7 linked regions of the Xenopus tropicalis genome follow. The protein of the gene in region 5 purifies or fractionates together with the protein of the main gene of each other region. This does not show direct contact. Links are inferred from orthologs where the notes say so. Each region holds a gene or a part of one and is shown on either strand. Other genes may lie near its edges.

Region 1 (3,500 bases), on a different chromosome or scaffold from region 5:
TACATGCACCTAAGCTATTAGGTCCCACCAATAATATATATGTAATCATGTCTATGAAACAATGTAGCAGACCCCCGGTGTCTGTTTTACTGCTCTGATGTCTGAAGAAATCTTTAAAGGAGCAGGAAAGGTAAAAACTAAGTAAGCTTTATCAGAAAGGTCTATGTAAATACAGCCATAAGCACTCACAGAAACGCTGCACTGAGTCCTCTATCAAAAGACATATAGACTTTCTTGTTTTATTTTTTGTGAACATGTTCTTCGGTTTCAGACTTCCTCTCTTTTAGGGCTCCTTCAGGTTTGGGGCTTGAGTCTGCTCAGTTCTCTCCTCTCCCCCTCCCATAAGAATGCATTAGAACTTACTTCATCCTCCCTTAGGAATGTGTGATCTGAGCTTCCAAGGCTACAACTGCAGCAGGAAGCTACCAAGACCAAGCTAAAATGGCAGCTGCTATTGAAGGAAGCTTCTAGGGCTCTTTACTCAGCTATAGTAAAGCTTTCTGCTGAATAAATATAGTGTTCTAGGTGGCACTAATGTTGCAAATCTATTGGCAGTAAAATCCTTCTCCTTTAAAGTAATTCCAATATGTTATGGCTTTTTAAAAGAGCATGTTAGTATCACTTCAAGAACTTACCTACTGCTCTCATATTATGTATGAATCTCTCTCTTATATATTATACTGGGATCACCAATGAAGCAAAGACACAAGACCTGGGGCCAGAGTAAGATATACAAACTGGTAACCCCCGCACTCACCTCTGGAACATCCGCTCCTCCTTCTATATGGTCGGGTTCTAGGTCTTCACTGATATGTCTCCGAGATCGGAACACTCGGTGGGCCTCTTGCTGTATGTGCCGAATGTTGCTGTCCGATTCGGACGTAACGTCTCTGCGCAGGATGAAGGGGTCACAGGAAAGGGGAAAGTGTTAAACATTAACTGCCGCTCAGGTCTGTACAAGGTAAGCTTATAGCAGTTTTTATAATTTGTCCTCAAATCCCATATATGACCACAAACACATACGATTACAGCGATTAAAGAGTTAATCTTGGAACCTGCTTGGTTGTATAGTGTTGCTGCTTCCCCAGGTTTGCTGTGAGTGTTAATATCAAAAGCAAATAAGATTAACACAAGTACCTTCTATTTTAATCCCCAAGAGCTCTGCACAGTGTTTACCCTTCTATCGAAATGGTATGTATGGCATCACTTGTAAAGAGCTTAGCCGAAAGCTGAACATACAGAGCCCTGGCACGGTGCCGTCAAACACCGGGGGGGCTAAGTCATCTACCAGGTACCGGGCTTCATAGCTCACCTCTGGGGGCAAGAGATGCATTTGTATGTACGCTGGGTGCAGTTCTGCTGAATGCATAACATTTGGAGTGGGGATGCACCAAATCCACTATTTTCGGATTCAGCTGAACCCCGAATCCTTTGTAAGAGATTCGGCCGAATACCGAACTGAATCCTGGATTTGCCAATTAAATGTCAATTAAAGCCTATTTTGCATTGTGCAATAAACTGCATGGCAGCTGCTATAATATATGTACAATAGAGGCTAATGCTCTTATGGAAACAACAGTGATGGCCTTCTAGGGCAACTGCACTAAATTATGGTTTAATACTTTCCCACTGGGTTTATACGGTTGGCTAGGCAAGTCTGAGTCACGGCAATGGGTAATACAGGCACCTTTAGCTTTGCTGAATTTGTTATTAATAATAAAAAAGGGAGCTTAGCCCAAGGGCAAAGCATATGTATAACACAATGCAGATGTCACTGTAGGCTCAAAGGAATATTTTTCCATATATTTTACCAGCAGCCTTTTATCTGCCCATTAATATCTTGATGTCTTTCTCCCAATAATAAAGGAAAAGGAAAATGCTTACGTGTGAGTGATACTAACGCTGTGCGAGTACAAATACTACCCGGCCTTATGAACTATTCACCAGTCTATACATTATTAATCCCAAAGCAGATGATTTCCGACATTGCCAGGAGTTCAATATGTTACTGACTTCTGTCTATACTTGCACCATTATGAAGGTGCCCTGTTCATTAGGGTTAAAACCAGGCCGATATTTGATTGGCCCAGCTGGTAAATCACCAAAATCGGATCAATCACCAAAATTACATACTTACCATCAATAAAATTTGTAATACCCTACAAATCTCTTCCTTCCCTGACCCTTTCCGCTAAGGGATTATATAAGTATATACCCGCCTATACCCTGCCCATTTTCCCACCCTGTGACATCATTGCCCATATTGTGCCCCCGCTTAATCCCTAGACCCAAAGGCCGGTACTACAAGGAAATAAAAGGGGGTAACCCTAATTTCCATGCAGACTAGGGTGCAAGGGTGCCTTTATTTCACCCCTACCCTAAGCAGGCAGTCATTTCAGGGTTCCCATAGTGGGCTCAGCTTTTATTTGCCCCAAATGAATGTCCTGCTACTGCCCTGGCAAAGTCACATTGCTACTGCCAGGTTTACTAAAAGGGCACAGAATGGAATGTTCAGTGAAAATACACCATTTTGGCAAACTGTGGTGGATTTTTTGTACACTGAAAGCAGTACCTTTATGTTTCTAAGGGAGATAAAATTGTAGTTATTGTTCCCACGTGTACCAAACATTCCTTATGTCCATATTTGCAGTTATGTAGGCAGATTCCATTTTGTTTCCCTTATCTATTGTGTGTACAGAACATTCCTTCTCCGTATATTTGGTATTTATAGGGCCAAGTGGGAGCCGCCATATTGTTTCCCTAGGGATTATACACTAAATCAGAGGCGTAAAGCTTTGGGGGAGCTGCTTCATTGTTAGCTATACAGTTTATAGTGACCAAAGAGTATTTTTTCCTTGAAATTTACATTTATATTAGGAGCTGCCGGGACAGGGCCCTCTGTCCTCTCATACAGGTTATCCGTTGTCTGGTATGTGATCTGTATATTCATTATATACACCCATTTACTGTACTGCAGAATATGTTATTACAATCATAATAATGCTATACTTTATTATATACTATCCCTTCTCAATGATTTCTATGGTTGTCATATTTTCATTGGGGGGGGGGGGCTATGATGTAAGGGGTGGAGAAATGGACAGGATTGGTGGGGGAAAGGTGGACGAAACTGGTAGATGGGCTGGGAAATGGGTGGAATGGGTTATAAGCAGAGCAGAGGAAGGGAGGGATTTATAGGCCATTACAAATTTGCCGGGAAGTACATTGTTGGTAAGTTGGTGATTTACTGGCTAGACTGGCCAAATACTAGCCAAGTGGTAAATTTAGAACTTTTGCATTTATACAAACAGACAAAAAACACTACACTACTTTCCTCAAAGAATACAGTATGGGGGTACACCCATACTCTGAACATCCCTTCTATGTACCCTTTATCGGTATCTATACATTTGGTTGGAAGCTACCATATTGTTTCCCTAAAGCACACAATCCCCTTTCCCAGGCATTGCTTTGAGCCCTGTAGCGCAGTGCTGTTCTCC
Region 2 (4,176 bases), about 130 Mb from region 5:
CTGGGAATCATTTATTAACACTGGGCAAATGGACAGTAACCCATGACAATTACATTTTTGCTTTCACTGTTCACTGTTTTGGCTGGCTAAATCAGTGATTGGTTGCTATGGACTACTGCCCACGTGCAAATTTGCCAAGTGTTGATAAATGAGCCCTATTATGTTTTGACCTTATTTAGTAACCCAAGGCTACCTGCTACTATCTAGCAGGGAAGATCTGTACCGCTGAAGATGCCTCCCATAGCTCCCCATCTTCTCTGCTGCTAATTCACAGCACATACTCTGGGGGGCTACTGTCATTTGCCTAAGCATAAGGACCCATTCACAATATACATTCTATACATTTAATATAAAAGTTACAATGAAAGTCTAATTAGTAATTAAATGAACTTCACATTAATTACACACAAGTTTAGAAACCAGTGCAACCTGAAACATCAGCTTCTGTAAAAGTTAAACTTAATTTTCTGTTTGATAATTTCAGGCAAAGCTTAATTTCTCAAAAACAGCCAAGAGCACACAGAGCAAGTGCAGTGTCACTGACACTAAACAGATGGCTTAACAAGGTCTAAGATGGTGAGCTGATCTGGAGTCCTGCATAATTCCTGTTGCCTCTGCTGTTACAACAAGTGCAGTATATAAAATACAGCATTTCAAGAGAAATTCGTTTTAGGCTAGGCGTCCTCCTTCAATGTAATACACAGCCTGGCTGAATTCTGATAAGATTGAAAAATGAAGTCTGATCTGCTGAGACTATACATTGGTGACCGTGGGAAGCTACAACCTTTGCACAGTTGCACACTATACTTCCTGTACAGGAGATTGCCTCAATGCTGTGTGAGTTGTTTCTATTATAGGTGCCATGGATCTACCACGTATTTCATTGACTAAACACTGGACAGCTATTATGGTATCTGCTAAGGTAAGGTTTAGATATCGCTCAGATTCTGCTTAATAACTCTTTAGTGCCCTCATCCTAATAACCTGCTTCCCCCAGTTTCAGTCTCTAGCTATTATTAATCAGGTCCTGGCTCGGGAAAGATGTTAACCAGATCCGGCAAGAGTGGAAATTTCCACATGTATAAAAGCCAAGAAACATTGTTATCAGCATAGTTCTGACCTACTGACAATCATCCAAACGTATCACAAAAAATACAATACAAGCCGACAAGTACAAATATATAACACAGACCTTAGACCGACAACCTTTGCCACTCCCCTTGCATAACCAGACAGCACCAACAAAACAAACACACAATGGCCCTTCCCCTTTAGCAGTGATAAAGCACGCAGCCATGTTTTTTTATAAGAAAAATACTTAAGTTGTGTACATAACCCATGCCAGTGCTTGTGTGAGCTGCAACACCCAAATCCTGGGCACACCACGGATCACTAGACAAAATTACTAACTCATCTATTAAGAAATGGTTAGAAAACTGTCTGTTATTCATTATTTAAACATTATATTCATATTGTTTTTCTAAATCAGTTTGTAGTACTAGTTATAGTACTAATATCTGCTAACAACCATCTTATATTTATTAAATGAGTCACCCATGTAGATCAATACACGAGGGTTAGGGCTACCAACAATCCAGTGAGGGCAATGTGGCTTGTGGGCTAGGTGCCTTATGCACAGATTGCCCTACCCACATTCACTGAACTTTCCTTATTATTTGGCCTCAGCGCTGTTTATTCTGCCCTAGGCAATAATATTATGCTGTGATTCACCCTGAAGCCATAACCACACTGAGATATAAACAGAATTAGTAGCTGTAGCACAAGTTTGTGTTGCTACCATCGACTGTACCCGAAGATCGTTCCTATTGTGGGTAGGCTGTGTGTGCGCTGAACAATTATTTGCACATACAAGTGTATAATGTACAGAATTTACCCCAGACACAGGCAACCTGTTGCAACTCACTACATTCTTCCAGCGTATGAGCTACAGAGGGGTGTAGTTCTGCAACACAGAGACTGGAGACTGGTTCTTACTATTATTACACATGATAAACTGGCAGTCATTCAGCATCCCCTGCTGGACATGGTATCTTCCAAGGAGATTATTTGCCCATTAGGGAGGTGGGTTTATCCTCATGCCAAGCCTCATATTACCTTGAAATTGGAAGCAAAGTGCAGGGGATATATATGCCAATATCTGCTGGCAAATATGAATGAAGGTCAGGTTTGAGGTCGGGTAATTATTAATTATATACCCATGTAACAATTATTTGATATAAGCAATTATTAGTATATAATGACTGAGCTTCCCACCTTTGTAGAACATCTGGAAGGCTCCCCCTTTGAGGCCCTGGAACACGCCAGTCACCTTGTTAGCTAGCAGCTCGCAGCTGGACACGGACGCCTTCTCTTTGCCGGCAGCCGGCAGCTCCAGCTGGAAGCGGCGGATCTCCCTGTGACTCTCATCCTTGCCCAGCAGATAGGCTTTCACGGTGACTGGCATGGTGGCACCTTGGGCACCGTATAGGCGGCGATGTCGCAGTTAGGAACAAAACAATGAGCAGAACGACTGCGCAGAAGTTTGTTATTCTGTGACTGACGGCTGAGAGCAGTCCCAGCTTTATTTATACAGCCAGCCTGGAAATCCCCACTCCTCCTTAGTCCACCCTCTACGTCCAATGTATTCCTATTAGTATCAGCCCTTTGGAACTTGCCAGACTCTTCCACTCTGCTAGCCACGCCCACCAACCTTGTGATGTCACCGTGACCTGGCAAAACAAAGGGGGAACTCCACACAGTGAGGGGACTAAAGACTACCAACTGCAGGGCAATATTACATAATAAATGACAGATTCACAGTCCTCTGAACAGTATAAAGTACAGTTTAACTGAAAAGTGTACAATAACCTCTTTTTGTGAATTTAAGGTTTTTATAAGTATAATTAAATATAATTTCTTACTCTATTCTCTGTTTATTCCACTTTTGGGATTGTAACTTCCTACACATAGGGGCACATTTACTAACCCAGGAACGCTCCAAAAGCGTTTTTTTTTCGTTATGATCAGTATTTTTGCGACTTTTTCTGCGCCATCACGACTTTTTCGTATATTCCATGACTTTTCGTCACATTACCGGAATGTTCTTTTGTGTGCAAGTGCACTGATCGAGCCCATGCAGATATGCACTGAAAGATCAAAGTCAGAAAGGTTTTCCCGGCGTTTACGATCGGTCAGTACGAAAAATTTGCAATGATGGCGACGAAAAAGTTCAGAAACTTTCGTTTCCAATCCGAATTTTTGCCGTTCGGGATTCAAATTCATGGAATAGTAAATGTGCCCCATAGTGTCTGTATCTTAATTATGGCGCCAGATGTTGAAAGACTGCAGCTCCCAGAGTGCTTTAAAACTAGACTATATGGTGAAGCGTGCAGGGAGTTATAGTCCAGCAATATATAGGAGCCCAAGCTTTGGAAACATCTAGAACAGTTGCAGATTGGGGTTGCCACCTTTGCTTTCCTATATTTTATTTTATCATTCTCCATTACAGATAACATCAAGCATAAGTTTTGCTGGACAGATGGCAACTCTATTCACAGATGGGTCACTTGCCCAGTTTGAGTTATGGTGAATTTTAACTCAAACATGACAGGAGAATGTAGGGCCAATGCCTTTAATGGTGAATATAATACAGTTGCAGCTTATGTTCCTAAGCAGACTGAGGCCTACTGTGTCGGACTGGCCCACCAGGATACCAGGAAAACTCCCGGTGGGCCGAGGGGTCAGTGGGCCCTTATTCTCCTGACCATTTGGCATACTTCAAGGTCATTTGCTATTTCTGAATGGGAAGAAAGAGGAGAAATAAATGGAAGGATAGATGTAAATAAAAGAGACTAGGAGAATAAAGAGGTTGGGTGAGGAAAGGAGGAAATATAGTTTGGAGAGTGGGCCTAGGGTCCAAGGTTTTCTGGTGGGCCCCTGGGGTCCCAGTCCAACACTGCCTACTGTAGCTGGAACAGCTGCTTACACATGAAATTGGATGGCAGGGCTAACATGGGCATTCAGAAGTTGAATCTGAACACTTTTAGTGAAGATCCAATGGGATTTGTGACCTGCTCAGGTACCTGAGCCTCAGAAGCGCATACAAGCACTTTGCCTTGGGAGCAGTGTCTGATCAGGGCAGCAAAGCATTTATTTAGGAACAACAGTGCGTTTGGC
Region 3 (4,034 bases), on a different chromosome or scaffold from region 5:
TCTTTGGCATTGTTGCTTTACTTTTCCAGTATTCCGTTTCACTTTTGAAGTGCTGCTGCTGCTTATGCAATAGCAGATGGAGGGGGTGGGCTAAATAAAATACCTTAGTGGTAAATAAAATACCAGAGCACATGCACTCATTAAAAGCCAAGCCTAAAATATTTGGTAAATTCCTTCTTAACTCTTTCTTTCCTAGCAGCTCTCAAAGGGAAAACAAAAGCAGTATTTCACATGACTGCTGCTTAGGATATCTCCTCTAAATCTGATCTAAAGGGCCGGGCCTTGAGCCTTTTAAGTAAATCATAAATATACCATGCCCCAGCTGTCAGTTATGTATTAGGCAGTTTGTGCAGCCCTGCAAAATAGGTTACTGCTTTATAATTTATGGTGATAATGACAATCTGCATATAAGCATACTGCAGAGCCTGGGATAGAAGGAAAGTTGACGTTTACCAATCTGAAGTACCCCTCACTTTATCTTGGATCAATCCTGTTACCAGACTGTTCCAATGAGAAAAGGGGGAAACACACACACAAAGCACATTAGCATGCGTGGGATTTTGTAATTTCCCCAGCAGCTTACCAAACCAATAACGGAAATGGAAAAGCAAGCAGTAAGGAATGGGGCAATTAAATCCCATTTCTACTGGACTGCATTGATATGCAATTGTTTGTATTCCCCCCCTTTGTGGTTCAGCAATATGGAAAAACTGCAGCATTACGTATATGTAAACAATAACATGCAGCAGAAATGGCAATCCAGATGTTAGAGGATTTCACACAGGAAATACTGGATTTCATAGAATAAGAAAGAGGCATGACCAACCCCCTGGGAAAGTGACCTAAAACACAGCAAATACAATGACTTCCTGTATACTGATATTGCCCCTCTGTAATACGGGATACACTGAGGCATTACATACCTAGAATAGGTTTCCTATACTTTGCACATATGAATAAGCGCAGCCAATGTCAAGTAAGGCTTTTTATAGGACGTTTATATATAAATTTATTTGGCAGGTACTGATGACAAAGCAAAACAGAGAGCTGAGCAAAAAGCACCTGGAGTTCTTAGGAACAGAACTACTAAATGGCTGCATGTTGAAGCACCATGAAGTAGAACTTGCCCTGCCTGGCCAGCGCATACAACTCCTGCAATACCTATGCTATGCAATGCTATGAAGTAAAACCCTGGGTTAAAACACAAAATAAATGCTGCATGAGCTTCTACAGGGAGATTTCCCATTTACTGGCTGTTATAAAATGATTTCCCAACAATGAATACACAGGGGTGGGTTGGCCTAATATTTGGGCCAAAAACATATTTATCTTTCCAGATCATGGATGTTGAATATTTAACCCTTCAAGTCCCGCTGGAATACAACTTTATGTGGCTTTTAGTGGAAACTCTACAGCTACTTGACTGATGAAGGTGGCATATCCCTTCTTAGGGCTGTGAGCCAATGTGATCCAACATGCAGCACAGCAGAACTTTCCAACTGGAGGCTGACATGCAGCCCCAAAATCTCCAGTGCCCCCCAGGCTGCACTACACAGAGTTCTTATACATGTAGCACAGCGGGGAGTGCTTGGAATTATAGTTCAACCCTAAGAAAAGGTAGGAAACCCCGCCGTTTCAAAATCTTATGAGCAGGCCCATTATCCTTTTGCCTTAAACATGTAAATGTCTGCTCCACATTGCACCCACCCCCTTCTGTGTACTGAGTCACTTCCACCACTCTTATAATGGAGTCCCACAAACTTTAAGCAAACAGTGCAGCATGGAACCAGGCCCTTTAACTGCCAGGTAGCAGCTGTTACACATAGATATAATTGCTCTCAGCTTCACTTGCCAATATGGCATTTTAGTAAATGAACCTCTCTCACTAAATTGTAAGCTCTTGTGTTGATCAAGCTGACCTTTCAATAATATAACATGCATTCGCATTTAACTTCCACTACTTCCGCTGTACCCTCTCATCTCAACCCCCACGGTTGGCTTGCTGGCTCAGGGTGTGGGTGAGGGCCCCCAGCAATACAGTATAGCTTGCTAGCCCATCTGAGTTCTGCTCCATAAATTGGGAATTCCCAATCTGTAGCCTTACTGCAAACTGCTAACATGCTGTAGGTGGGATGTGAGAAGTTGCAGTTGAACAACAGCTGGAAGGCAGAAGCTTGGGGGTGCGTGTTGTTTATACAGAGACTAACAAGCAATTGTTAAACAGTGTAATAAGCCATTTGCCCTTATGATATGTCCTTTGTTATTGTACTCCCCCCCCCCCCCCCCTTGTGCTTGTGATAGTGAGGAGACAGGCAGTGGCCTCTGTGCTCTGCCCTATGTCAGTGTGTGTGCGACTCACCCCAGCACCACCAGCTCTCCGTATTTGACGGGCTCCTTACTGGGGGCGCAGTGCTCCTCCTGACTGGGGGAAAACATGGAGAAGACGGTCCCCGTCACCCTCTGCCAATGCACGGTCCCCGGCCAGCCGTACAATCCCTCGGGGAGCTCCACTTCCGCACCCCCTCTACTCCATGGCAGCTCATATACACACCGGATGCCGCAGCTCACCAGCCCGGGTGGCGGATAAATCCTAGGAGCAAAGAGGCTGCCCTGTGGCGCAGATTACTGTCACCGCCGCACTCTCCCCTCCCTCCCCAGTAGTTTCTTCCAGCTCCAGCTGACGGGAAAGGTTATAATCCCTCCAAAGCGCCGCGGCCTGTCTCCGGCAGCCCAAAGCAAAACAGCAGCACTCCCGAGGAACAAGCCGCTTGCGTCTGCCTCCTGCCCTGCAACCGACGCGATAGCAACAGAGAGAGGCTGCGAATGACTCGCGGGACCGACCTCCTTCCTCCTCCCCCTCTAGACAACAAATGGAACCCCGCTGCTTTCCAAGTGCCGTGGCAACAGGACTCTGGATTAGGCGTTGGGAGAGAAGTGGGCGGAGTTTGCATAATCAAACACAAAACATTCCCTGCCCTGTATCTATCTCGGTGCTTTCAGGGAAACAAGCTGCCGCAAATGATAGGTCCTCTCTTACCAAGCAGCGAACGGATTAGATAAAACAGGAACGTGCGCTAACCAGTAACAGATTCCGCCACTTAACCCCCCTCCATAAAGTGAAGAGTGGGAGCGTCCATACTGTTATGTAAACATAGAGTAAAATGGGATAGGGAGCTCTTAAAGGGGCAGTTCTATTTTTATCCGCAAAGGTGACGTTACTGATCTATTGGTACCAAGCATCCTCACAATTAGAATGCCCGCCTCAGAGAGAGAAGTAGCAAATCAAAATATCACCTGATCTATTGTCTTATTAATTATCTCTTATAATAAAGTGCAAATGATTCATTGATTACTGGTTAAGTGATGCAAAGAAGTGTTTACAGCTAAAGGTTTGATATTTTATAAAGCCTCTGCCAGTATCATATCATTTGACAAGCTACATTTCAATCATATCTGGGTGTTGTATGCTGCACACAGTCCAGCTGCTCCAGTATCCTGGTTCCAGTTTGAGTAAATCAAGTTGGGGGCTCCTACTGATTAATAAAATGATTGCGTCTTGTGCTTCATTTCATGTATAGAGAACAGCAACTTCACTGCACATAGTATAAAACTAAAAGATCAATTCAAATTCCCTATCCTGATTTATGGAAATAATTGTAATGCAGTGCACACTGCAGCAGATATTTGTTAAGAGACCCAACACACACAGACTCTTGCTAGGGGTAGAATTTTTCTTGGCAGTGGAGAAGCTGTAAGATGACTAACAAGTCAGGGGCCAAATCTTGCTAAACCCCAGGCCAAGGAATGGATTATGTGTTGGCCATGTAGACCCATCAGGAGAGGACAACATCCATGGCCCTAGGGTAGTGATCCCCAACCAGTGGCTCTGGGACAACATGTTGCTAACCGACCCCTTGGATGTTGCTCTCAGTGCCCCCAAACCAGGTAGTTATTTTTGAATTCCTGACTAGGTTGCAAGTTTTGGTTGAAAAAAAACAGGATTTACTACCATAAAGCCTCCTGTAAGTTGATAG
Region 4 (3,500 bases), about 46 Mb from region 5:
CAGATACTGGGGATATTTTGTTTTTTCTCTCTTGTAGTTTTCTTTTCTAGTTTTACTTCTAACTTTATATATTAAATGCTGACCCTCCATTTCTCTTTCTGCAGACTACCATCTCTGGGGTTTCTGCTGCTTACAACAGAGAGCAGTTATGGCTGGCCAACGAAACCTTAATCACGAAGCTGCAGGCCAGGTGCCGTGGTTATCTTATACGCCAGAAATTCAATGCAAGACTGAAATTCCTGAGGGAACAAATTCCTGCTATTAACTGTATCCAGGTAAAAGAGATAAACATACCTTTATTTAGTAATTTTCCTCATTAATTTGGGTCTGTCAGTTTCAAGGATTTTATGTTGGTTATAGAGAATCACTGCATGGTACTTTGTAACCTTATTGATGAATATGTCTGTGTGTAATAAACAAAAATGGCCGTGCCTCAGAGGAATGGCAGTACCCGGCTATGTACTACTTTGAATCTGCCTTACAATAAGATCTACATTGAGATCTCTTATTTGCCACTATAATACTATATTTTTCTATCTGTGCCTAGGCCCATTATCGAGGACAGAAGCAGAGGAAAGAATACAAAGATCGCCTGCAATACCTGAATGATCATTCCGATGAAGTTGTTAAGGTACCTATTCTGTTTTGTTTTGTCCTTTTCTGTCATGTTTAGCCTGTTTTATTATCTTAAATCTGTCCTGTTTTTAAACATTCCAGTACAAAGAACATAATAAATGTTAATGATACATGCATCTATTGATTTCTTTATGTTTCATACAGCTCAGCATATACTGGTGCCTTGAGAAGAATCTAAGATTAATTTTTAACAGTGAAGTTAATTAGATATGTTAAAAGTTAGCTTTCTGTCTTCCTGTAGGAAGACATAATTACTGTTTTTAAAGTTTAGATAGGATTTACCCCAAAGTGGAAAACTTTTATTTCATTAAGTTTTTTGCTTAATGAAATATAATTCTAAGCAATGTTCAAACTGGCAAATAACCTTTTTTTTTTTTAAAGGTTGGTTTTTAACAACAGCAAATAACTTTAAAACCATTGAAACAATGTTTTGTTTTGTTGTTTAAATTAAATGTAAGTTTAATTGCTCTTAAATTGCTGTTAGGTTAGTGGCACACAGGGAGATTTGCCATCTGTGGTTAAATCTTGGCTACTGCAGGCAACAAATCTCCCCAAAATGCTTTCCCACTGGCAATAAAGTGACTCACCAGTGGGAAAGCACACAAGGCTCTTTGTTTTCCTAAGTTTCCCAAAGTTTCCTGTGTAGGACAGGTAGCACAAGGTATCTTATTTACAAACCTAAGAGAACTGACTTCTGCTGCATTTTTTAAGAGTCAGAATTGAGACAGTACTTTTTTTTTTACAGTACGTTTTTCAACTTTCACAATTGTTATTATGTGTCAGCTACTTTCTATATTTATATTTCTTTTCATGAAATTAATCCAGCTATTGGGATGAGCTCCCCAATAACTTTGCTGTATTTGTCACTAAGAGCCCTTTAATCTGTGTTTGTATTGTTGTATAAGAATGCTACAACTCTCTACATATTCATGTGATTATTTGACTATAAACGCTAGGTTAAGGCAATTTTATCATTCATTTTTTTTTTTTTTTTTTAAATACAAAGATTTTTTTTATATTTTGTTGCCTGCATGATGGACTGTTTCACATGGGTGATAAAATTCCCTGTATGCTATTAATCGTAAAGGGATATGGTTTCACAGTGGCTTTTTTACATTAGATATATGTAACAGACCTGACACAATTTTCATCGGGATAGGTTTAAATTGATATTGATGCTTTAAACCAGCTTTCATTTCAGTGGTAAGATGTGCGAGATGTGTTTTGTCGAAATACATGCTTCATATGCCTTCTCCATCTGTACTTTCTTCTTTCAAAAGGGCTCCTGTACACCGCAGGCTTCTCTGTGATTGCAATCTGATTGGATTCAAGCTGAGTTAGTTCCCCTGATTTGACAAATTGCTTTAGATTAGAAGCAGCCTCAGCAATACCACTATAGAGTTCCAAGTGTCAGAAGGAATTTTATCTGAACCCTTCTAGTAAGGCAGAATATCCATCTTGTGTCGGTCGGTTACTGGCTGATTTTTATCCTTCTCATTCTATTCTGTTTGAACTGTGTAGCTAAAATAATTGTTAATATGTCTCCTGCTTTCAATATATAATACCATCATACTATGTGTAGGACATTGGTACAAAAATATTAAACATGGTGTTTTTTTTCCTTAGATTCAGTCTTACACCAGAATGCATCAAGCCAGGAAGCGGTACAGAGACAGACTGCAATACTTCAGGGATCATGTAAGGACCTGGTTATATGTCCTTTTGTTTATTCATACAGTTTGCTTTGTGTTCTTAACTAACCCTGCCTTCTTTATCTTCAGATAAATGATATTGTGAAAATTCAAGCTTTTATTCGTGCTAATAAAGCACGGGATGACTACAAGACCCTCAGTAAGTGCAACGTAACTTTTGGTACAAGGGCAAGAACCTATGGTTTTATCCAATGTTGATTTTAGTTTCAGATCAGAATGCATTCTTATAATGGGTGATCTCCAGTGTTTTACCATTAAGGGATTTAAATTATGTTATATAAATATAATTACAGAAACCTAGAACTTAGGGACACAGTATACACCTCTTTTCAACATGAACTCAATGAATGGGACTTGCTGGACATACTTTTTTTCTATTGTTTCTGTTATTTCAGGCATTAAATAGGCATGTGAAGCCAGTTTCACGTTCAGTCTTCCTGTCACTTCATGACCCCAAAGAACTTCAGAGGAGCTGATAAAACTAATTACCAGTCCACTGAGACAACCCTGATAATGAGCTGCTTCTTAGAGAAGGGAGGGTTAGTTTGTTCAGATATAGTTAGGGAACTTTGAACAAATAGCCCTGTTTATAATGTTGGGGTGGTAAGGTCAGGGAATATAGCCCAGCTTTCATGTGAGTGCATTATAATGGCAACAGATAGGAAAATATGATTTTTTTTTTTTTTTTTTATTAAAACAATAGAATGTAATTTCACCACAAGTCCTATTTATTGTGTTTATATTTAGCAAAGGTGTTTTTAGGTGTATGCTGTCCTTTTAAGGCTGAAAAAAGACATATCCATTAAGTTCTTCTCACAAAGTGCTTGGTTATTAATCTGGTGCAACCCAGTTAATGTGTGTGTGTTTCTTTTAACACATAGTTAATGCTGAAAACCCACCTATGGTTGTTGTACGTAAATTTGTCCATCTGTTGGATCAAAGTGACCAAGATTTCCAGGAAGAGTTAGAAGTGATGAAGCTGCGAGAAGAAGTTGTGACCCTCCTGAGATCCAATCAGCAGCTGGAAAATGATCTTAATCTTATGGACATTAAAATTGGTCTTCTTGTGAAAAATAAAATTACATTGCAGGTATACCACTTATGCATGTTCTTGAGCAATTCTGACAATGCCTGAAGCTGGCCATAGATTAA
Region 5 (3,232 bases):
GTCCCCTTGCCCCACCAGTGACTGTCCCCTTGCCCCACCAGTGACTGTCCCCTTGCCCCCCCAGTGACTGTCCCCTTGCCCCCCCAGTGTACGTGACTGTCCCCTTGCCCCCCCAGTGACTGTCCCCTTGCCCCCCCAGTGTACGTGACTGTCCCCTTGCCCCCCCAGTGTACGTGACTGTCCCCTTGCCCGCCCCAGTGTACGTGACTGCCCCCTTGCCCCCCCCAGTGTACGTGACTGCCCCCTTGCCCCCCCCAGTGTACGTGACTGCCCCTTGCCCCCCCCAGTGTACGTGACTGCCCCCTTGCCCCCCCCAGTGTACGTGACTGCCCCCTTGCCCCCCCCAGTGTACGTGACTGCCCCCCCAGTGTACGTGACTGCCCCCCCCAGTGTACGTGACTGCCCCCTTGCCCCCCCCAGTGTACGTGACTGCCCCCTTGCCCCCCCCCAGTGTACGTGACTGCCCCCCCAGTGTACGTGACTGCCCCCCCCAGTGTACGTGACTGCCCCCTTGCCCCCCCCAGTGTACGTGACTGCCCCCTTGCCCCCCCCAGTGTACGTGACTGCCCCCTTGCCCCCCCCCAGTGTACGTGACTGCCCCCTTGCCCCCCCCAGTGTACGTGACTGCCCCCTTGCCCCCCCAGTGTACGTGACTGCCCCCTTGCCCCCCAGTGACTGCCCCCTTGCCCCCCCAGTGTACGTGACTGTCCCCTTGCCCCCCCCAGGCTCAGACATGGTAGACTGGCTGTACCACCACGTGGAGGGCTTCCAGGACCGGCGGGAGGCGCGCAAGTTTGCCAGTAACCTGCTGAAGGCCGGGCTCATTCGCCACACGGTGAACAAGATCACCTTCTCGGAGCAGTGTTACTATATCTTCGGGGATCTCACCGGCTGTGAGAACTGTAAGTGCGGGGGGTAACTGGGGTAGGGACATTGGGGGGGCAGTGGGGCAGATGGTCTCTGAGTGTTTTGCTCTCCCCCCGCAGACATGGCCAACCTCTCTCTAAATGACAATGATGGATCCAGCGGTGCCTCCGACCAGGACACTTTGGCCCCTCTGCCTCTCCCTGGGGCCTCCCCGTGGCCCCTACTCCCCACCTTCTCCTACCAGTACCCAGCCCCCCACCCGTACAGCACCCAGCCCCCCGCCTACCATGAGTTATCCTCCTACAGCTACGGCATGGGCAGCGCCGGCAGCCAGCACAGCGAGGGTGAGTCCAAGGGGGCAATAAGGGGCAATATTCTGTGTGGGTCACCGGTCCATCCTATTGGCTAATCTCTCCTTTCTTTGGTCCCACAGGGAGCAGGAGCAGCGGCTCCAACCGCAGCGACGGGGGGCGGGGCACGCAGAAGGACGAGCGCTCGGGGGTAGTCGGGGTGGGCGGGGGGGAGTCTAAGTCGGGATCTGGAAGTGAGTCGGAATACTCCACCCGCAGCAGCATAAGGAGAATAGGGGGTGGGGAGGCTGGCCCCCCCAGCGAGCGCTCCACTTCATCGCGGCCTCCACTTCACCATCCACCCTCGGTCCATTCCTACGCGGCCCCCGGCGTCCCCCTCTCCTACAACCCCATGATGCTCATGATGATGCCCCCCCCACCGTTACCTCCGCCTGGGGCGTGCCCTCCGTCGTCTTCTGTTCCACCCGGAGCTCCGCCCCTTGTGCGGGATCTAGCGTCTGTTCCCCCGGAGCTAACTGCCAGCCGCCAGTCGTTCCACATGGCCATGGGCAACCCCAGCGAGTTCTTTGTGGATGTCATGTGACACTAAGGGGCCGTTAGTGCCCTTCCTACCCCCCCCCCCGGGCTCTGTACGTACAATCAGCGTTTATATGGTCACACTTACATTTCAGCCTAGGGCAGGGATGCCCCTTGCTCACTACATGGACCCGGGCTCTCCTGAAGGGGGCAATAAACCCAGAAGGATTATGGGAAGCCCACCACAAAGGGGACTATCGATACGATGCTATTCCAGCAAGGGGTACGGACTATCCCCGCCTTTGCTTTTCTTATTATGGGAGAAATTAAGCTTTTTTTTTTCTTTCCTCCTGTTTATGTTGACACTATAGTTAGTCGTGATGTCATAGCCCGGTGACATCACTCAGAGGGGCGTTGGCTAAACTCTATAACAGTAGGGTCTTACTCTAACCCTGTTTGTAGGAAGAGAACGTAAGGAAATAGTTGAAACGAACAAATTCTGAACTCTGATGTCACCCATCAGTGACCTCATTGGTGACATCATAACCTCTGTCTGTTACTAAACACTAAAACTCCGAGGGGTCCGCTGTACGCTCCTATCTACACGCACACGTATGTATCTCTACACAGACGGTACTTGCCCCGCAGGGTGCAGTGATAATGAAGTATGTTTATCCGTGTATGTTAATAATGTGCCCCCCTGGGGGCAGGAAGGGGGGGGGGGGGCAGCCTTTCTGCCCCACGAGACACTGCTTCTCTGTTACCAATAGACATTTCTTTGTATTTTTACACGTAAAGCTGTCGCTGTGAAACAGACTCCACCCCCAAACCCCCCCATTCTGGCGCCGTCGGTGCCTTGTCAGACCAACCAATGAATGCCTTAGTGTTGGGCCCAGATGGGGGAGGGATTGTGGCCCTCTGGCTCTGCCCCGGGGGCAAATTAAGTGCCTCGGTTACTTGCCTCTTATTGTATTTATTACTTTTTTTTAGTGCATAAACCTCAGTAATAAAGGAAATAAACCTTGTGTTTTATAGCAAGACCTCCCTCTGCGTGCTGATTGGTGGGACTGGTTGGATCCACTTCTGCCTTTTCCCTCCTACAGAACCAGCGCCACAAGGTACCACAGAGGCTCTTGGTTGGGAGAACTCGGACCTTAAGTACTGGGGTTGTTTCTGCTAGAGAGGCTTCCGGCCACCAATCACCGGTGCCGTATTCTTCTGCAGGGCAGGGACCCCCAACCAGTAACTCGGGGCAACATGTTGCTCCCCAATCCCTTGGGTGTTGCTCCCAGTGGCCCCAAACCGGGCAGTTATTTTTGAATTCCTGGATTGGGGGCATAAAAACCAGGTGTACTGGCAAACAGAGCCTCCTATAGGCTACCAGTCCTCATAGGGGCTACCAAATAGCCAATCAGAGACCTTATGTGGCTTTATTTGTTCTTGGGTTGCTCCCCAATTCTTTTTACATTTGAATGTGGCTCATTGGTAAAAAAGGTTGGGGATCCCCCCCCCCCCGGCTCTAGAGCATAGAGAGCTCC
Region 6 (4,024 bases), on a different chromosome or scaffold from region 5:
CAGGGAGAGGGTCACAACACCAGCCTAATTTTCAAAGATATCTTGCCATATATTGGTCAGAAAGGCCCCATGCAGTGGCCAATGCAAGCTTTAAATGCCTACATTTACGCCTGACCCACCATCCGCACCAGCCTGGGGTAATTCATGTGCCAAATACCCACCACTACCGAAAACCATCACCAGAGCTGCACATCCTGGCTATAACTACAGCCAAACCAGCGCCAAGATTTCTGGACTATGAACCCAATACCCTATGCTATAACTTGTTTTTATTCTCCCCACCTGTTACCCCCCAACCCTACTTTTTTGGCAGGTACCATCTGAATGAACCCCCCAGGCACCTAAATCATCTTCCCAGCCCTTTCACTAACGCTCCTTCTCATGGGGTGGGAATGTCACTTTTTTTTTTCTTTTATAAGGACCAACACTATCACCCTTTCTCCTTTGTAATTCTGTCCCATTCAGTGGGAAACAGCCACCCCCGCCGTGCCCTGATAGATCTACCCACCCCCCCTTCACAGATACTTGACCCTGACACTCAATTACTGGGCTCGGAATGCATTTCAAATTCATTAATTTTAGGTCACACACAAACATTTAATGCACACGCATGTAAATCGTATATACTGACAGATTATACACACACTAAAGGGGAAATAAACCCAAAAATACATTCACAGTCTTTAACTGTATTTTTTTGTTGTTCGCAGCTTTGTGGTTAATTATTAATGAGGCTCTGCTTTACTACACCGTGGTGTTATCATCGCTCCTTTATGGCATGAATGTAGAACAATAAACACCTATTTGTGTTCTGTAGGAGAGTAAACAGGCCGGCCCAGACGGCCCTTCCCGAGAGGCTAGCAACGGGGGAAACAATTGAGTGCAGAACGGCCGGTGTGGATTGGGTGTGAAGTGTAACGTTGGCAGTTCCTCCCCAAACCAACCCGCCCCAGGCAACTGACTTATGACCCAGGCTGATCCGTCAGGAGAGTCCCTGGCTTGGTGGGGCCTTGCAGGGATTTCAGTGGAATTCAAGGCCTTGGGAAGGGAAATGCGGCTGCTGCGAGTGCTCTGTGCCAGGCTTAGTAAGGCTCAGGCAGTGCTGAAAGGATCACTGACACCCCCAGCTTCCCATGGGAATGCCGCAGCTATGGATCTAACCAGGGGAATGGGAATCAAAGGCAAAATGAAGGATCAGGCTTACTTAATGGGAGATACTCCAGATGCTGCTGAAGGAGGGGTGCTGGGAGTTGCATCTTAAAAAGATCTGGAGGGCCTCAACTAGCCCATGCTTGATCTGATGAATGCAGGAGAATCAGGGCGGTCGGATCTAGATCCAACAGGAGGGCTGCTGTGCGGGGCAATAGGGCAAGGTCCATAGGGAAGGCTATGGTCAGCAGTAATAGGGATGAGAGGCAAGGCCGTGGCTCCCAGATCTAATGGGGGGGGGGGGGGGGGCTGGGGTGCAGGGCATTAGGGCAAGATCTAAAGGGAAGGATAGGGATCAGGAGTAATAGGGATGAGAGACAAGGGGGATCTAATAGGGGGGCTGGGGTGCAGAGCAATAGGGCTAGATCTAAAGGGAAGGCTTCAGCAGGGATCAGCAGTGATAGGGATGAGAGGCAAGGCCATGGGTCCCAGATCTAATGGGGGGGCTGTTGTGTAGGGCAATAGGGCTAGATCTAAAGGGAAGGCTATGGATCAGCAGTAATAGGGATAAGAGGCAAGGCCGTGGCTCCCAGATCTAATGGGGGGGGGGGCTGTTGTGTAGGGCAATAGGGCAAGATCTAAAGGGAAAGATGGGTGGCTCCCAGATCTAATGGGGGGGGGTACAAATGGGAGGTCTAGGGATCAGGATAATTGGATCCAGGCTGAAAGAAGGGATGAGGTGCAGGGCCATAGGGCCCCAATCTAATGGGAGGGCAAAGGCTTAGGGTAATTAGATCCAGGCTGAAAGAAGGGATGAGGTGCAGGGCCGCGAGGGCAGGATTTAATAGGATGGCCAAGTTTTAGGGTAATTGGACCATGAGGGGTATATATACAGGAAGGGCTGGAGTGCAAATGGGAGGTCTAAGGGTCAGAGTAATTGGATCCAGACTTAAAGCAAGGGATGAGGTGCAGGGCCACAGGGCCCAGAGCTACTGGGAGGGCAAAGGCTCAGGGTAATGGGATTTAGGCTGAAAAGAGGGATGAGGTGCAGGGCCATGGAACCCCACATCTAGCTGCTACCCAGAGCCAATGGGAGGCCAGGCATCAGGGTAACCGGACCCATAATAGTCAGTGGCACCCAGCTCTAACCAGAGGGCTTGGGTGCAGGGCTAGGGAATATGGGTACAGGGGCCCAAATGCCAAGCAGGCCAGTGAAACCCACAGTAACATAGGGAAAGGCATGTACCTGGGAAGCCAATGTAGGATAGAATGATAGATAGAATGATAGCAGGCAGTTGCAGGCAGCAGCAGGCAGTTTGAGGGCACAGCAAGGAGACTGTACCACTCTCACCCACCCATGGGGGGCACAATGTACCCGGCACAATCCACCCCGGGGGAGAGGTACTTACCAGGGCAGCAGGCAGGCTCCCGGCGGGCATGGGATCCCAGGCACTGGGGGAAGGGAGACGGACGGAGGCTGTTTGAGAAAAGGAGGCGGAGGGAGAAAGGGGGAGCGCCAGTCCTTTTGTAGGAGCCTCGCTGCGCCGGTATTGCGCCGGTATTGCGCTAAATCCACAGGGCGACACTCGGGGTGCGGGGAGAGGGGTCACAGGCGGCCGAACGGGGAGCGGGCGGGATCCCCCGGAGATCCACAACGCACAATCCTTAGGCTGTGAGAGAGAGAGCAGCGCTGTGCCTCCGCCCCCAAGCTCCATACACTTCTACGGCTGCAGCCCGGCAAGCCCCGCCCTCCCGGCAAGCCCCACCCACCGCTCTCCTCCCCCCTCCCTGCCCATTGTCTCACTTCCCCGGATCCCCTTTCTGTGGGGGGGGGGGGGGGCAAACCCAGCGCAGCTTGGGGCTTTAGCACTGATCTTATTTGGGATTTCTTTCCCCTCTCACCTTCTGCTGCTGCCTAATCGCTCCCTAAGGGCTGTTTAGCAAGTCATTATCAGAGGCCAACTAGCTGCCTGGTATATACTGGGGTGGGTGTCACAGAAGGGTTAATGTTAGGCTATCTGCCTATAGACTGAGCCTAACAATTCTACTGCTTAGTGATGTCATAGCCTTAACAATGCTGCTTAGTGATGTCATCCCTTAGAATGGAAGCTTAGTGATGTCACTGCTCACATGGCTCCCTGGTGTGTCTGTATCATTATATATAGTGAATAAAGTACCCCCTATTGTAACATATAGGGATATTATAAGGCACAGAAGGGTTCTATGGCCATATAAAGGTTATTTGTGGCTCTTGTATATTATATAGTGAATAAAGTACCCCCTATTGTAACATATAGGGATATTATAAGGCACAGAGGAGTTCCATGGCCATATAAAGGGTATTTGTGGCTCTTGTATATTATATAGTGAATAAAGTACCCCCTATTGTAACATATAGGGATATTATAAGGCACAGAGGGGTTCCATGGCCATATAAAGGGTATTTGTGGCTCCTGTATATTATATAGTGAATAAAGTGCCCCCTATTGTAACATATAGGGATATTATAAGTCACAGAGGGGTTCCATGGCCATATAAAGGGTATTTGTGGCTCCTGTATATTATATAGTGAATAAAGTACCCCCTATTGTAACATATAGGGATATTATAAGTCATAGAGAAGTCCCATGACCATAAAGGTCATGGAAATCATAGGTCACTTCTAATATCCTCATATTTTACAACAGGGGTACTTTATTTATTATAATATACAAGTTTAAGTGAGTCATGTGACAGAAATGACATCACCAAGCTCAGATTATAACTGATGACATTACTACTCACCATTTATAAGGATATCATTTATGGTTTGGTCCCATAGGGAAATTACTGTATATTATATATGTATATATGTACCTTTATATGGTCATGGGAC
Region 7 (4,071 bases), on a different chromosome or scaffold from region 5:
AAGCACTCCAAGTGCATAATAAACACTTCGATCACAAAAGGTTATTTTCTTAGTCAAACTCAGGGGGGAATTCTTCAGTCAAACCAGACTGCTAATCAATTCCAAAGACAGCAAAGACACAGCTTTTTGTACACACTGGAACGTACAAGAACAGCTCTCCATACAACAGAGGAAGGCAAAGAAAACAAACATTACCTGCAGACTTTGCTTGACCATCTGTGAGGTTTAATGATGTTTCCAAGGGGTTGCAAAAGCAGGTGCTGGAGTGGCAGCTGGATAAACATTCGCTGAACACTGAGTTGGAGGAATTGGAGAGGGATCCCGACGTCCCATCACTCAGCTCATAAAATCCTAAAAATAAAAACAGCATTCTTTTGTAAGGAGAAGGGCACAAAACACACTGCAGAGCTAGAGGAATGATTGGATGTGGTTCAGAGAATGTGCAAGACAAGAAAGGGGAATTGAAGTGTCTCATTATCAGTACTTAGCCATATGCAAAATAGCAAACCTTTAGTGCCTGAGTGGGGCAGTTAATTACAATAAGTAAATATATAATCAAATGAACCACTGGAAGGAGCGCATTCCCACCCACACAGATAAATATATCACGTCAGTATCTCACACTTACCTGAACTGGGTCGACTGTCTGTTTCCAGATGCTCCTCTGTCTTTTCAACATCAATTTTGAGATCGTTTATTTGCTTGTCCAACTCATGAAGCTGGCTTAGTAAACCTGCGTCTCGCTTTCTAAGGCAGTTCTGTGGAAAAGAAATGGCAGTCAGAAATGTAATTTGAAACCAAACCTTGCATCAAAATACACTTATTCTAATCTTTACATTGATCTTGTCATTGCACTACAGCATGAACTGTGCCCAGACCATCTGTGCTGCTTGCCATTTACAGACATAAAGCTTTGTCTTTTAAGCTGTACCAAAAGAATTCAGATGCCACTAATAGAAGGAACTGACTGGCAGAAATCTGTGTCCTGCCAATAAGGAGTACTAACAGACACAAAACATTTTGATATTATAAATATATATTATATATACACATACACACAAATTTGTTACGGTGAGGATGTGTAAACACAAACAAATGCATAGCCATATTAAAGCTGCACAACTGAAAGTGCAATGTAAGGGCAATGAGGTTAATCCTGTAAGAGGGTTACCCACTGGGTTCTGCTAATTACAAAATGATGAGAGTGCCAAACAAGGCATGCTGAAAGGGTTAAGCTCCTTAAACGTGTCGATTAGAGCTTCTGGTGGTTTTCCTTCCATTTGAAACAGCAGCCGATTCACAAAGCAGCTCCATTCAGGAGCAATCTGCGGGTGTGAGGCTGCCCCCTGGTGGTCACACCGTGCGCCTAATTGCTTTAGCAAATCGCTTCCTAGGATTCATTATACTAGAAAGCGAGCCAGATATCCACAGCGAGCTGGGACCTACTCCCTGCCCCATGAGCTGGGGGACCTACTCCCTGCCCCATGAGCTGGGGGACCTACTCCCTGCCCCATGAGCTGGGGGACCTACTCCCTGCCCCATGAGCTGGGGGACCTACTCCCTGCCCCATGAGCTGGGGGACCTACTCCCTGCCCCATGAGCTGGGGGACCTACTCCCTGCCCCATGAGCTGGGGGACCTACTCCCTGCCCCATGAGCTGGGGGACCTACTCCCTGCCCCATGAGCTGGGGGACCTACTCCCTGCTCCATGAGCTGGGGGACCTACTCCCTGCCCCATGAGCTGGGGGACCTACTCCCTGCCCCATGAGCTGGGGGAGTCAGATGCTTTCATATACTACTAATTAAGAGTCAGATGCGCTGCACACACAGGGGTTAGAAAACGGGTTTCTATACGAACTGAAAGAGCTCAGCAATGTATAGTGGGGATAAGATGGGGGGGATCAGCTAGTGCTAAAGAGTCGTGCAGCCCCGCATGTGGGTAGTATGTGAGACAGCTTTCCCAGTAATTATACTGCATGTAATCGAGCAGTAAATATATGTTGAGTACAGAATGCGCAGGGCAGTCTCCCATACATGTATTGAGAATATTAAGTGCAATGGGATCGTACATACGCAGGCATCACTAGTCTGTACACACCGTAACGGGAAATAGAATATAATTGAGCGGACACATATATAAATATATACATATCCCTGCCCGGAGCACAAACTAAATAGCCTGCCCCACAGACCCAGCCCTGTGCCCCGCACCCAGACACCTACCAACTGCTTCTTTAGCAGCAAGATATTGTCCTCCAGGAACTTCTCCTCCAGGCTGCGGGGGGTGTCCCCTGCCCGAGTGGCAGTATCTCCGTGAGTCGGTGCCCCGGGGGTAAGTGCGCTCTTTACCAGCAGCTCCTGCCGGTGCCTGAGATAGCCCAGCTCCGCAAGTCCGGCCAAGGTCGCCTCCAGGCGCTCCCGGGTCCTCTGCCGCTCCGATTCCGCCTCTCCCTTGTCCTTACGGCGGGGGCTCTCCTGGTGTTGCCCCAGGTGGTCAGGGGTGGCGGGGATCGGCTTCATCCTGGGACAGCGAGCAAGCCACAAGCTAGAGCATCTGCAAAGGCAGCCAGGCTGGAAAGGAACAAGGGCGCTCCAATGAGCAGGTAATCCTTATCCTCACTATTCCGCAAGAACCGATCCCAAACTCCCACTTGTCAGCGGATACAATGCACCAAGTTTGCACAACGTGCGATTTAGCGTCTCCTGCGCAGTGCTAGGCGCATCTTTGCTGAATCTCTGGCGAGCAGCTAAGCGAAACAGCCCATGACAGCACCGCAGCACTCTCACCGCCACACACTCCTCCACTCTCTCTCAATCCTTCTGCACTCAGTCCCGCAGCTCCAGCCAAGCTAAGTAGCCTTCGCTACGTCACACACGTCCCGACCCCGCCCCTCTGCTCTGAGGCTCACTTGCAGACTTGAGGCAGCGCTGTACGTACGCTCGGTTGTGCTTAATACACGGCATGCATGATCCATAGCCCACACTGTTCATTCATTTCTACCGAGTGGCAAAACACTTATTCGTTACCTTACAGCTATGGTTATATTTAAAATATGAGCCAGAACAGCTCACTTATGTAGGTATTTAATCAGTGCAAAACCAAACATTCTGTGTTCTCGAAGCAGTGTGTTACTGGCAGCCAGGTGCAACGTTTGCTTTGGTGATTGGAAACGAAGAATAATGGTGTTGTACTGTGAGAGTTGTAGTTACACAGTATTCATACATTTATGCAGGGACCCCCAAACTTTTTTTTACCCTGAGCCACATTCAAATGCAAAAAGAGTTGGAGAGCAACACAAGTATGAAAAATGTTCCTGGGGTTACACATAGGGCTCTGATTTGCCATTTGGCAGCTCCTCAAAAATAAGCTCCTGCTTTGAGGGGATCACTGCATTTGTACAACCGTCTACTCTCCAGCTTCTGTTGCACTCAAACTCCCAGAACCACTTGGAAAATGAAGCATGTATATGGAATCCTGGGGTTGTAGTTCAGTAAGAGCTGGAGGGCAAGTTGGCTCCCCCTATTAGTGACTTACTGTTTTATTTCTGTCCTTATATGAGAACATAATTCATTTATTGATTGATTCTTAAACTGCTGAGGAATTTGAACCCCCTGAGAATGTGACAGATTCATGTTACCACTGCTTTTCTCCTTATCATGGAGTGGCTGGGGGGGAAGGGGGGGGGAGCTGATTTACAGGTACCACAAAATGTAGAACCTATTGCGCTGGGTTTCAACTTTTGTGTGGATTCTACCGTTACTAAGTTCCCATTCTTTGTATTTTTTTTTTCTTTGTAAATACAGAGCCAGGCCCAGATCAGAACTGTCAGCCTACTGTTATGGCCAGAACATATCCAGGCCTACCAGCTACAGCAGCCAGCATGGCCTAATCACATCCAGCTACAGTGGCCACTCATGTATTCTACCAGTGGAGGGTACAACCCACATCACCAGGTTGTGACATTTGACCTTTGACCTTTGTGCAACTGTTGTGACTGTTTTTGTTTTTAATTCTTGTGAGGCAGTTTTTGTTTGGCTTTTGTTAAGGACTATTTGCACAAGTATTAAACT

What was found.
Region 1: the proteins of dvl2 (region 5) and nedd4l purify together in Homo sapiens (affinity purification with mass spectrometry; 4 studies listed by BioGRID and IntAct, with this or other methods). This does not show direct contact. The link is inferred for Xenopus tropicalis from reciprocal best matches to the Homo sapiens genes DVL2 and NEDD4L.
Region 2: the proteins of dvl2 (region 5) and sqstm1 purify together in Homo sapiens (affinity purification with western blotting; 3 studies listed by BioGRID, with this or other methods). This does not show direct contact. The link is inferred for Xenopus tropicalis from reciprocal best matches to the Homo sapiens genes DVL2 and SQSTM1.
Region 3: the proteins of dvl2 (region 5) and peli2 purify together in Homo sapiens (affinity purification with western blotting; 3 studies listed by BioGRID, with this or other methods). This does not show direct contact. The link is inferred for Xenopus tropicalis from reciprocal best matches to the Homo sapiens genes DVL2 and PELI2.
Region 4: the proteins of dvl2 (region 5) and iqgap1 purify together in Homo sapiens (affinity purification with western blotting; 3 studies listed by BioGRID, with this or other methods). This does not show direct contact. The link is inferred for Xenopus tropicalis from reciprocal best matches to the Homo sapiens genes DVL2 and IQGAP1.
Region 6: the proteins of dvl2 (region 5) and vangl2 purify together in Homo sapiens (affinity purification with mass spectrometry; 4 studies listed by BioGRID and IntAct, with this or other methods). This does not show direct contact. The link is inferred for Xenopus tropicalis from reciprocal best matches to the Homo sapiens genes DVL2 and VANGL2.
Region 7: the proteins of dvl2 (region 5) and dact1 purify together in Homo sapiens (affinity purification with western blotting; 3 studies listed by BioGRID and IntAct, with this or other methods). This does not show direct contact. The link is inferred for Xenopus tropicalis from reciprocal best matches to the Homo sapiens genes DVL2 and DACT1.

The regions. Positions count from the first base shown.
Region 1 is NC_030677.2:201,768,976-201,772,475, forward strand, and holds part of nedd4l (E3 ubiquitin-protein ligase NEDD4-like), read right to left. Parts: intron 891-3,500; coding exon 758-890; intron 1-757. UniProt on the Homo sapiens protein: E3 ubiquitin-protein ligase that mediates the polyubiquitination of lysine and cysteine residues on target proteins and is thereby implicated in the regulation of various signaling pathways including autophagy, innate immunity or DNA repair.
Region 2 is NC_030679.2:22,202,840-22,207,015, forward strand, and holds the start of sqstm1 (sequestosome-1), read right to left. Parts: upstream 2,801-4,176; 5' UTR 2,465-2,800; coding exon 2,275-2,464; intron 923-2,274; exon of another isoform or gene 485-922; intron 1-484. UniProt on the Homo sapiens protein: Molecular adapter required for selective macroautophagy (aggrephagy) by acting as a bridge between polyubiquitinated proteins and autophagosomes.
Region 3 is NC_030684.2:104,373,043-104,377,076, forward strand, and holds the start of peli2 (E3 ubiquitin-protein ligase pellino homolog 2), read right to left. Parts: upstream 2,801-4,034; 5' UTR 2,437-2,800; coding exon 2,360-2,436; intron 1-2,359. UniProt on the Homo sapiens protein: E3 ubiquitin ligase catalyzing the covalent attachment of ubiquitin moieties onto substrate proteins. Involved in the TLR and IL-1 signaling pathways via interaction with the complex containing IRAK kinases and TRAF6.
Region 4 is NC_030679.2:106,863,718-106,867,217, reverse strand, and holds part of iqgap1 (ras GTPase-activating-like protein IQGAP1), read left to right. Parts: intron 1-104; coding exon 105-275; intron 276-547; coding exon 548-631; intron 632-2,262; coding exon 2,263-2,334; intron 2,335-2,417; coding exon 2,418-2,487; intron 2,488-3,229; coding exon 3,230-3,438; intron 3,439-3,500. UniProt on the Homo sapiens protein: Plays a crucial role in regulating the dynamics and assembly of the actin cytoskeleton.
Region 5 is NC_030679.2:153,287,690-153,290,921, reverse strand, and holds the end of dvl2 (segment polarity protein dishevelled homolog DVL-2), read left to right. Parts: intron 1-725; coding exon 726-902; intron 903-986; coding exon 987-1,211; intron 1,212-1,300; coding exon 1,301-1,761; 3' UTR 1,762-2,732; downstream 2,733-3,232.
Region 6 is NC_030684.2:137,173,455-137,177,478, forward strand, and holds the start of vangl2 (vang-like protein 2), read right to left. Parts: upstream 2,801-4,024; 5' UTR 2,559-2,800; intron 1-2,558. UniProt on the Homo sapiens protein: Involved in the control of early morphogenesis and patterning of both axial midline structures and the development of neural plate. Plays a role in the regulation of planar cell polarity, particularly in the orientation of stereociliary bundles in the cochlea.
Region 7 is NC_030684.2:103,321,447-103,325,517, forward strand, and holds the start of dact1 (dapper 1), read right to left. Parts: upstream 2,801-4,071; 5' UTR 2,521-2,800; coding exon 2,224-2,520; intron 759-2,223; coding exon 629-758; intron 352-628; coding exon 196-351; intron 1-195.